Linked DNA regions of Cricetulus griseus. The protein of the gene in region 3 purifies or fractionates together with the protein of the main gene of each other region. This does not show direct contact. Links are inferred from orthologs where the notes say so. Each region holds a gene or a part of one and is shown on either strand. Other genes may lie near its edges. The genes, in order: Tox4, neurabin-2 and Ppp1cb.

Region 1 (3,647 bases), on a different chromosome or scaffold from region 3:
TTGGCGTGTTGTTGCTCCTTCAGGTAGCGTCTCATGTTTTAAGCAGTGTGGTACATTGTAATAATCAAACAAGTCACAGAGAGAATGAGTCCAGATTCAGGAGAAGAGGAAATAGCTGAGCCTTCAGCTTTTGGTGGGAGAAGGGCACACAAGAGGAAAGGACTCTGACAACTTAGTACATTCCTAGGGGAAAGTTTCTGAGTTGGGCAGTATTGGGCTATGTAGACTACTCATCTTAAAATTTGGAGGTGGTTTTATTTTTGATATAGCAATGAACATGCATTTCTGTTCACTTTAGAAGTATAGGTATTCTAGCAAGACAGTAGAGTGAATTTGCCATAAAGTTTGTCGTTTCTTGCTCAAGTGTTTTCACTAAAAGGAGTGGTCTGTGGTGTGACTGAGTTCCTGATGGACAATAATAGACTGTCAGTTTCTCCTAGGAATATGGTCATTTGAAACAGTGTCTTTCTTTCTCATAGGTGTATAAGCGGAAAACTGAAGCTGCCAAGAAAGAGTATCTCAAGGCACTAGCTGCTTATAAAGACAACCAGGAATGTCAGGTAAGGTGACAATAAATGGATGTATTAAACCAATTCATTTTTAAAAAATTGCTATAGGTAAATCTCTGTCTCTATCTCTCTTTTTCGTGTACACACACACACACACAGACACACAGACACACACACACACACACACACACACACACACACACACACACACAGAGAAAGGCACACGTCAAGAGCACTGGCTGTACTTAAAAAGTACCTGAGTTTCCAGCACTCACATGGTTCCTTAGGACCATCTTAACTCCAGTTCCTGAAGATCCAATGTCCTCTTCTGTTGTGCACATATGTGCAGGTACACACCCATACACATAAAATAAAAATTAAAAAAAAAAAACTGTGAAACCTATTATTATATAGTGTTAAAATTGATTTAGAGCTTCCCCAGTATTTTGTGTCATAAGCCTTGCTAAATAGTCTTTGAGTTTATCCATTATTTCCAGTGTTTACCTAAGAAAGCCTTTATTTTTCTATTACTTATATTTTCTTGAAGTGTAATGAGAGTGAATGTGTGCTACAGTAGAGAGTAAATTACTTGTTGCCTTTCTGTCTTGGTCTTTTAGGCTACTGTGGAAACAGTGGAATTAGATCCCGTCCCGCAGTCACAGACTCCTTCACCACCTCCTGTGACTACTGCTGACCCAGCATCTCCAGCACCAGCCTCAACAGAGTCACCTGCTTTGTCCCCTTGCATTGTAGTTAATTCCACGCTTTCATCTTATGTGGCAAACCAGGCATCCTCGGGGGCTGGAGGTCAGCCCAATATTACCAAATTGATTATTACCAAACAGATGTTGCCCTCTTCTATTACCATGTCTCAAGGAGGAATGGTTACTGTTATCCCAGCTACAGTGGTTACCTCCCGTGGGCTCCAATTAGGCCAAACAAGTACAGCTACTATTCAGCCCAGCCAACAGGCCCAGATTGTCACTCGGTCAGTGTTGCAGGCAGCAGCAGCAGCTGCTGCGTCTATGCAACTGCCTCCACCCCGACTACAGCCACCTCCATTGCAACAGATGCCTCAGCCCCCAACTCAACAGCAAGTCACTATTCTGCAGCAACCTCCTCCACTTCAGGCCATGCAACAGCCTCCACCTCAGAAAGTTAGAATAAATTTACAACAGCAACCACCACCTCTGCAGAGCAAGGTTGTGCCTCCACCCACTCTGAAAATGCAGACTGCCCTGATCCCTCCAGCTGTGGAAAGCAGCCCTGAGCAGCCTCTAAATTGCAGCCCTGAGGCTCACACAGCAGAAGCAACCTCTCCTGAGACAATCTGTGAAATGATCACGGATGTAGTTCCTGAGGTAAGCCTGTATTATTTCCTTGGATGGGGCTGGTGGGAATCCAGTTCTGCCAGTTGTTTTTTTGTTTGAGATCGAGTCTTAGTAGGCCAGGATACATAAACTCACTATGCAGCCAAAGAGAACCCTGAGTCTGATTCTTCTTCCTCTGTATGCCAGGTTTAATTTATAACAAGTTGTTTTAAAATAAAATTCCTAGATAGAATGTACATGTCATCCTGCTTAGCAGAATTCTAAAGCTTGGTTATAAAATGAGAAAATCAAGAACTTGCCTTTTTCTGAAACTCCTTATGTGAGGGGGTATGGTACCTGTTTCTCTACTGGTATGTAAAATGTTTTGACTAGGTAGGTAGTACTCTAACCCATCCTTGTTTGTTCCCTGTTCTAAGGTGGAGTCTCCTTCTCAGATGGATGTTGAGTTGGTGAGTGGATCCCCTGTGACACTCTCACCTCAGCCTCGATGTGTGAGGTCTGGTTGTGAGAACCCTCCTGTTATCAGTAAGGATTGGGACAACGAATACTGCAGCAATGAGTGTGTGGTAAAACACTGCAGGTGAGCGAAACAGTTCTTATAATTAAAGTAGTAGTTAAGCTATCTGTTGGGAAGCACCTTGAGTATGTAATCAGTATTTCTTTAGGTAGAAGAACAGCTTGATACATACATAAGTAGATGGATATCTGGTTAGAGATACTAGAAAAAAGCATTGTTCAATCTCTTAGGTATGGTATGTAGCCCAATTGAAGATAGCTTGCCTGGCATGAGTAAGGACCTGATTCAGTTATCAGTGCCAAAGAAATTGGTGAAGGATAGGTTAAGGGGAAAATAGCCCAGTAAATGCTAATTGTGAGAAGAGTAGTTTTACTACTTACCTACAGTAGTAATTCCAGGGGATTATCCTATATCCACGAAAAAGGTGAGTGTGTCCTGTCTCTAGACTTCTGTGAGATGGATCACTACCTTCTGACTTTTAGGCTCTTTGTTCCTAAGTTTACTAAGATAATGTATTTTTGGAGATGGAGACAATTATTTGGGTATTTTTGTAGTTGTTGTTGTTGTTGAAAAGATAAAAGAGATAGTTAAGGAATGTATCTAGGCTGTAATAAGTTTGTGTTATCTTTCTTTCTCTTAGGGATGTATTCTTGGCCTGGGTGGCCTCTAGAAATCCAAACTCTGTGGTGTTTGTGAAGTAGCCTTTCTGTTTCTCCAAGCCTGGAAGATTCATCTGCCAGACACAAGTCCAAGAGCCTGTATTTGAAACACAAGCTGGGCTTCTTCTGGTAGTGCCTGACCTTTACACCCATAGTCCTTCATGTCCCCATCTTTTCTTTCTTCAGCAGAGGCCAGACTATAGCAGGGCCAGTGAATTTACTGTAATTTGGAATTGTTTTTCACTCTCGACTACAAGCAAAATTACCAGGTTATAGCACAGGAAAGGGTAAAGGGAATATGGAAGCAAACCATAGTGGGTTATTAGAAGAAATGTGTCGGTAAAATTATCAGAGGACTTGCTTCAGATGTTATTGGAAAAGTTCTTAGCTCTGTCCCTAGGAGGAAACAGCACTGGGATAAGAGGCTTAGGGTTACAGCTCAGTGGTAAAGTGCATTGGGTTTAAATCCCAAATTAAAGAGGAATGAAAATACTGACTTAAAATACCCCCTTTAAAAAGGGAACTTACTATTATTAATCTACACAGTACTTTAAAAACAAAGGTTTGTTGGACTGGGGTTATGGCCTAGCACTAACAAAACTGAGTTCAGCCCCAGGCAGAAAGACCAAGG
Region 2 (3,647 bases), about 96 Mb from region 3:
ACTGCATTTTTGAGGGTGTTTTCAGGGCATGAAGCAGAGGGTGGGTCACAGGTGGCTTCCTGCTCAGAAAGCAAAGAGGCATTCAATTGACAGACAGCTAGGGTAACTTGTGGACAGCTAATGCCACTTTAGGCACTGTTAGGAGCAAAAGCAGAGTTGGTCCTTGTCCCTGTGTGTCTTAGAGTCTGCACACCATTGGCTGTTGTTACTCCCTGATAGGCTCTGTAAGAGAAGGGAGTGGGCCCTTACTGAACCCCTAGATCAGGAAGAACTCATGTGTGTGTGTGTATTGGGGGGGGGGCGGCATGCTACCCCACTGAATTCCCAGCAGGCTTTTCTGGGAAAATGATGCATGGCAAATGTAATGACGAAGGGTAGATGGAACAGTACCCGCAAAGGCTCTGTGGCAAGTCTGAGGGTTTGCAGGAAGGCTTGAGTTATCTAAGCTTAGAAAGCATGAGGTGTTTGCAGCAGGTAAGATAGGAGGACAACCTAGAACTGGAAACTGGGTACCAGGGACTGCTGTGAGGCAGTGGGACCTTCTAACAGGCAAGCAAGCCAGGAAAGCTGGTTTTGAATGGGGAGGGTTCCATTTAGGGCATGGTAGGGCTGGAAGTTAGGTGCAAGATGTGGCAGGCACTAGGGATTTGGGGCCCTGTGCATAGCAGTGGTGTGGGAGGTGGGGCCTTGCCTGAGCAAGGGTAAGGAGAGAAGAATGCAGCCTGAGCTGTTGGGAAAACAGCTCACTTGAGAGCTGGAAAGGGGCTAGATATTTAGACTCAATTTTTTTTTTTTTTTTTTTTTCCTCGAGACAGGGTTTCTCTGTACTGCTTTGGAGGCTGTCCTGGAACTAGCTCTGTGGACCAGGCTGGTCTCGAACTCACAGAGATCGCCTGCCTCTGCCTCCCAAGTGTTGGGATTAAAGGCGTGCGCCACCAACGCCCAGCGGGGCTAGATACTTAAAATTCTCCAGGGATAAAGGCTGCTTTGCAAACCAGGGCTGCAGAGGGTGCAAGCGGGTGGTGACTGTTTCGTATCTACCATCTCACTAGCCCTGAGGCATGTCACTCCCATCTTCTGGATAAGGCAGAAGTTGCTAATCAGTGAGTGACTCGTGGGTACCTGCTACCCGCTGGGAGAATTAGTAGTTGGGGGCCAGCAGGCTCCACTGGTGCAAGAATTCCTAAAGACTGTTGGCTGCATGACTCACTCTGGTCCTCTCTAACCCAGGGCTGCCCTTTCCTTGTAGTTGCAGAGTCTGGAGCAGGAAAAAGGGCGCTGGCGGGCCGAGAAGGCCCAGCTGGAGCAGAGTGTAGAGGAGAATAAGGAGAGAATGGAGAAGCTGGAGGGCTACTGGGGTGAGGCCCAGAGCCTGTGCCAGGCTGTGGATGAACACCTGCGGGAGACTCAGGCCCAGTATCAGGCCCTGGAACGCAAGTACAGCAAGGCCAAACGACTCATCAAGGACTACCAGCAAAAGTATGTGTGAGGAGTTTTGCATCTGGGCCCAAGCAGGATGGAGAGGCCTTCAGTGTGGTAGTCCCCACCCCAGCCTTCCTCCAGCTGAGTAGGGAGACAAGGAATACAGAAGTTAGAGGGCACTGTGGTGGGTACCTGAGCTGGAATGACTGAATACCAGACCCCCGGCCCTAGAGACATTGGGAAAACCTGCATCTCACTGGACTAAACATACACCATAAACCCTAACCCTGTTCCTTGCCTGTCTCCAGGGAGATCGAGTTCCTGAAAAAAGAGACTGCCCAGCGTCGGGTACTGGAAGAGTCGGAGCTAGCTAGGAAGGAGGAAATGGACAAGCTTCTGGATAAGGTAGAGCCTGGAGCCCTGGGCAGCCTCCAGAGGGAGCAACATAGAAGCCAGAATCAAAGAACACCGCTCTGTTGATGTTTGGGGAGGATTGTATTGCTGGCCAGGAGCTTAGGGTCAGAGCTGGGGGCACGATCCTTGCTCAGTGGCCAAGCCTGATGTCCCCTCTCTGTTTTCTAGATCTCAGAACTGGAAGGAAACCTGCAGACCCTGAGGAATTCCAATTCTACTTAACAGGATCGCTCCTTGACTGGACAATAATAATCCCCTCCCATTATCTTCACCCCTGTCCTCAATCCCCGCCCCGCTCCTACCAGCCTGGGGACAGGTGCCCCGACTTCCCCCCTCCTCCACCCCACCTCCCCCAGCTTCAGGGACCAGAGGGCCCATATTACAGGCCGCTTTAGGGTGGCCCCCGGGGCAGACAATGGTAGCTGGAAGAGTGGCCTCCTTGTTCTATGGGGCTGAGGTACAAGAGAAACTGAAAGCGGACCTGGGTGGTGGATGGACACAAGGACCTGCAGACCAAACTGCCAGACTTTACAACCTCCAGCCTGTGTCTCTGGACCGGAGTGGAGCTGGGGCTCTCCCAGCATCTCACCACGTGGAGGCTGCTCCCTGCCCACAGGGTCCTTGTGGCCCCTGGGCCTCTTGACTTGAGATTCTTTCCTCCTCCCTATCATTGTTCTGTCTGTTGCATTCTGGCCTCCTGCTTGGAGGGGTTGCCTCAACATCTCCCACCCCTGCTTCCCATCCCAGGAGGGATAGAGCCCACCCTTGAGCCTCAGGCTGGGCTTGGTCCTGCACTGATTTCTCATGTATCCTTGGGGCAGGCGGGGCTGGGGGTGGGGAGTGAGCCGGAATAGGGAAAAGGATGAGTCCAGAACATCTGGAATCCAGCCCCCCCCCCCCTTTCCTAGGAAGGGCAATGGCCCTCAACTTCTCCTTGTGCCTCCCCTCTCCCAGGTGCCAAATAGCCATAGCCTCCTCCTGGAACTGTCCTGAGGCCACTCTGGGGTTCAGGTTTCCTTGGTCTAGCCTAGGCTTGCCAGGAGGGAGGAAGGTCAGCTTAGATGGTGTGCCTGCAGAGCTCTCCCTGGGGAGCTAGGCCCTGCCCAGGGCCACACCTGGAAGCCTTGTATTACCATCAAACAGATTCAGCCTCCCCCCACCCCCCACTGTTTTCCAATGTTTTCACTGGAGGGAAAAATTTTACTAAGCTTTTTGGAGACCAGGGCTGCTTGATGTCAGCCTGCTTTCTAAGTGAAATTGACTCAGTTTCCCCACTTTAACCCCAAATTGGGGCTTGGACCAAGGGAGGTGAGACCCCCTCAGGTACCCTCCCCTTTAAAAATCCATCTCATTTTGCCACCTCCACAATCCCTTTCCCAAGCCTAGGTTTCTGTTCGGTTTTTTTGTTTTGTTTTTTTAAACAACCCTGTTCTATCCTTTTTGGCTTCTCCTAGACCCCTGTAAATAGACCATACCATCAATCAGTATTTCTTGCCCCTCTCTTCCGCCCCCAGCGTTTCCCACTCCCCAGAAAGAGCTGGCTGTCACAGTGCCCGGCTCCTGCACTTCACCTAGGCAGATGGAGGGGGCGGAGCCGGGTGGGTGGGTCTTCGATGTACTTCCGGTTCTGACCGGCAGTGCTCTTGCCCCGCCCTTGGAGGACCCCGTCTCTGTATATAATATATATATGTATGTATTGTTCCTGGTTTTGTACGGACCATACCCTCTGTCAGGTCGTCCCCATAAAAGCAGCCCCCAGAGCCTTGCTGCCTGGTTTCTTGATGCGCTGACGGGGAAAGAGAAGGTACCAG
Region 3 (3,747 bases):
ACAAGTAGAGGTAATAATGGTACCTGCCGCCTAGGGCTTGCTGTAAGAATGAAATGAGATGATGTTGCATGACATCTAGATTAGCGCCAGGACATACAATCTCAGTGTAAGCTATTAGTAAGTGAGCAAGGAAAGTACAGGCAGCCTTGCGCTGCCAGCATCATGAAGTCTGAGTTGGGGGTGGGGTGAGGGTGGGGTGAGGAAGAAGCACCGGTTTGGGAATAGGTAAAAGTTTTGACTTGACTTCCTCAAATCCTTACCTAAATCTTTTCCTTGGCTACTCTTCCCTACTGTCCTTTGGTGGCAATTTTAGGTGTTGGAAGGAAAGGCAAGCAACGAATCTTTCCATTTCCCCGAGTTTCTATTTCTCCCTGTATTGTATAAACAAGATACTTGGTGGGTGATGCAGACATGAAGATAAATGAGTTGTGGTTGGTTGGTTTCTTGAGACAGGAACTACTGTAGTATAAGCTGCCCCGTCCTGTTACATAGTTGATGATGACCTTGAGTTTCGGAATCTCCCAAGTGTAGGGATTACAGGCATCTCATGCCTACAAATGTGATTTTATCCTCTAGGAACCAAGTACAGCAGAAAAAAAAAAAGTTCAACTATCACAAGATAAGAAGATTAAGGCATATAATAGAGCAATATACAAAAAGCACTTATGGAAAAGTGCTATCTAGAGTGTTTGGAGATAGATACAAGATACGATAAAAGGGCTACAGAGGCAGAAACCAGAGCGTGTATTATCTTATTACTGCTGAATGGGGCCCACTTTGATGCTTGTTTCACCCAGGGCCACCTGGAGAATCAGCCACACTGGTAAAACGATAAAGAACACTTTATTTGCTATATCAGTATTTTTTAGCAGAGTCGTCTCGTTCTGCTTCCAACAAACCTGGGTTTCCAAGATGGGCAACCGCAGCGCACACACGGTTCCAGATTAGCGGAAACATGAGGAATTGTTTGCAAGGGCAGTGAATGAAGCCAAGAAAAGAAAAGCAAGGCGGGAGGGACGCAATCGCTAACTCTGCAGAGAAGAGGAAGGTCATTCGTGCCTACGCGGGCTCCGCGTTCGCTCTGCGCAGCAAGGCTGGCTCCTCCCTGCGCCTGAGCAGTCGTGACGGCTCGGCCAGCGGACCTGGGGCGGGAGGGAGCCGCACCTGCGCGTTGGCTGCGGCGGAGGCGAGGGCGGGGACGGGGCCGCGGGAGGGGGACGTGGCGCGCGTGCGCACGGCTCTGGCGGCTCGGCGGGGCGGCGGGCCAGGGCGGAGGGAAGGGAGTGACGCTGAGGGCGGGGCTGCCCGCGGCGCTGGCGAGCATTGCGGAGCTGGGCGGTGCCGAGCAGGAGGAGCCGCCGGAGGAGGAGGCGGAGGCGGAGGCGGAGGCGGTGGCGGCTGCTGGGGTCTGATGCGCTCGGTTCGTGGGGCCCGGCTTGTTTATTTAATTATTTCTAGTGGGCTTCTCCCGGCGTGTGCGCGCGCTCTCGCTGCTCGGCGGGGAGGGGTGGGGGGAGGGCCCGCGCCCGGGGGGAGTTGGAGCCGGCCGGGGTCGAGACGCCGCGTGACTCGTAGGTGAGAGCGCCGAGCCGCCGCCGCCGCCGCCGCCGCCGCGAAGCCCTTGTTCCCGCTGCGGGGAGGAGAGTCTGGTGCCGACAAGATGGCGGACGGGGAGCTGAACGTGGACAGCCTCATCACCCGCCTGCTGGAGGGTGAGTGCGAGTGCGGCGCCGGGCCGCGGGCCCCTCCCGCTCGAGCCCAGCCCGGGCTGGGGGCCCCAGGAGGCCCGGAGCGGAGCGCGGGGTGACGGGCGAGCCAGCGGAGAGGCGGCGCCGCGGCCCGGGGCTCGTCGGCGGGTACAGCCTTCCCGGAGGCCTCTGTGCTGCCTCCCTCCGCTAGCCCTTCCAAAGAAGCGGCGGCGATGCCTGCCGCTGCGTGTTGTGTGTCCGTGGAATGTGTGTTTCTTCTCCGCTCTTTGTGCGCTGCCCTTGGCTGCCTCCGATTGTCGTTCCGGTAGTGAATTTTACGGAAAAAAAAAAAAAAAGAGAGAGAGAGAGAAGCCCTTCCCAAGTGAGGCTCTCGGGTCGTTTGCATTTTTTTACTGGATGCTCTAGAAGGGCTTAAGGAGAGGACAGGATGCATAGTTCACTATTTATTATCTGGCGTACAAAAATAGTGAAAAATCTTGGATCGGGTTGGAGATGTCCGTTAGAAATACGAAACGTCTGGATACCTGGGGCTGAAGGGATTGATGTGGGGGGCTTAAAATCATAACATGTTTGAGCCGAGTTTAAATTCTGCACAAACTTAGTAAATGCCTGTTGTAACAGCCTCTCTCGGGCTTAGTCTTCGCAGCACTTAAGTTCCGGGTTCTCATGCTTTTTATAGTTAGTTTGGTGTTGGTGGGAACATAAGGAGGAAAGAGAAGACTAGATGGAGAGACCGGTAATTAAATGTATTGATCCGTTGCGGGACACTGTTCAAAGTTAAAGCGGGTCTTGGTCAAAATAATCCTTTTACTCAAAAATTCGCTTCGCTACTAATTGTTTGGGGAATGTGTAAAAAAGAATTGTCTTTTTGGATGATTAAGAGCCCTCTTTATTGGACACCTAATGAATGCGTGTATGCTGCTTTTGTTTACTACAGCGAAGCAGTTTGTACTTATGTTTGGAAATTTACCAAAGAGGATTGTATGGAGAGGGGTGACTTTTTTTCAACTGAAGTACACCGTATCTATCCCTTGCAAAGATCTCTGTATATTTGCTCCAGATATTAAAGCCTTCCTGAAGGCTGAGAAGGAAGTTTTTTTTTTTTTTTTTTTTTTTTGTACCGGGAATTCTTATTTACCTTTTCCTTTAGTATCATGTTATTCCTGGGAGGCCCCCTGGTGCTTGCTGTGTTCACTACTCGGGACTTTGTGGTCTTTAACTGGTGGGAACATCTTTATGTGTCTGTGAGAAACTTGTTTAGAAAAAGAATTGTGCTTATAGGAGAAGGTGAATTTAAGCCTACCGCTGTTTTCATATACTTAAATTAAGTTTTAAATTTGATTGTATCTTAGTTTATTCATATTTAATTTTTTATAAATACATTATAGCAGAGTCATGTATTTTAAACTGATCTAGAACCCTTTCAATTAAATGTACCTTTATATGATTACAGATACTTAAACTTTAGTAGAGAAAAGGGGGAGAGCAGCCTAATACTTGGTTCTAGCTTCAGTCACCCCCACTCCCAGCCCCCTCCTTTTTGGGTAAGAATTTCTTGTCAAGATACATTGTTCTATTCTTCTAATATAGCAAGTGTCTATTGACTCCTCCGTGCCAGGCACCAGGAATCCAAAGATAAGACACAATCTCCACTCAAGGCACTCAGTATAAACAAGTGACTTAAGCATTTTCTAGCCTTCTTGCTCTTCCGTTGTTGAACATACGATTTACTAGTGGTTTGTCTGGTGGTTTTTGTTGTTGTTTTACATTTTTGTTCCTGTATGCAATTGAAGTTTGTTTACCTTGACATCTCCCTGTTACTCTGAAATATTACCCGTCCCTCCCTTCCTCCCCAAATCTAGACCTGTTCAAATAACTGTCAAAAACTTGGATTTTCTAGTGAGTAATTTTAGTCTTAATTTTTTTTTTGTCTATTTTGGTTTTCAGAGGTGTTATGTGCTAATTTAACTCATCAAGTTGCTCCTGTGCAAAGTTGCCTAGCAGAGTAAATGTGGTTATATATATTTTTGTGTGTCCT

Evidence for each region.
Region 1: the proteins of Ppp1cb (region 3) and Tox4 purify together in Homo sapiens (affinity purification with mass spectrometry; 5 studies listed by BioGRID and IntAct, with this or other methods). This does not show direct contact. The link is inferred for Cricetulus griseus from reciprocal best matches to the Homo sapiens genes PPP1CB and TOX4.
Region 2: the proteins of Ppp1cb (region 3) and neurabin-2 purify together in Homo sapiens (affinity purification with mass spectrometry; 4 studies listed by BioGRID and IntAct, with this or other methods). This does not show direct contact. The link is inferred for Cricetulus griseus from reciprocal best matches to the Homo sapiens genes PPP1CB and PPP1R9B.

Annotation. Positions count from the first base shown.
Region 1 is NW_023276807.1:207,391,249-207,394,895, forward strand, and holds part of Tox4 (TOX high mobility group box family member 4), read left to right. Parts: intron 1-479; coding exon 480-560; intron 561-1,126; coding exon 1,127-1,870; intron 1,871-2,256; coding exon 2,257-2,420; intron 2,421-2,997; coding exon 2,998-3,058; 3' UTR 3,059-3,647. UniProt on the Homo sapiens protein: Transcription factor that modulates cell fate reprogramming from the somatic state to the pluripotent and neuronal fate. In liver, controls the expression of hormone-regulated gluconeogenic genes such as G6PC1 and PCK1.
Region 2 is NC_048600.1:108,184,765-108,188,411, forward strand, and holds part of neurabin-2, read left to right. Parts: intron 1-1,249; coding exon 1,250-1,479; intron 1,480-1,730; coding exon 1,731-1,827; intron 1,828-2,004; coding exon 2,005-2,058; 3' UTR 2,059-3,647. UniProt on the Homo sapiens protein: Seems to act as a scaffold protein in multiple signaling pathways. Modulates excitatory synaptic transmission and dendritic spine morphology. Binds to actin filaments (F-actin) and shows cross-linking activity. Binds along the sides of the F-actin.
Region 3 is NC_048600.1:12,008,192-12,011,938, reverse strand, and holds the start of Ppp1cb (serine/threonine-protein phosphatase PP1-beta catalytic subunit), read left to right. Parts: upstream 1-1,277; 5' UTR 1,278-1,420; intron 1,421-1,525; exon of another isoform or gene 1,526-1,575; 5' UTR 1,576-1,660; coding exon 1,661-1,712; intron 1,713-3,747. UniProt on the Homo sapiens protein: Protein phosphatase that associates with over 200 regulatory proteins to form highly specific holoenzymes which dephosphorylate hundreds of biological targets.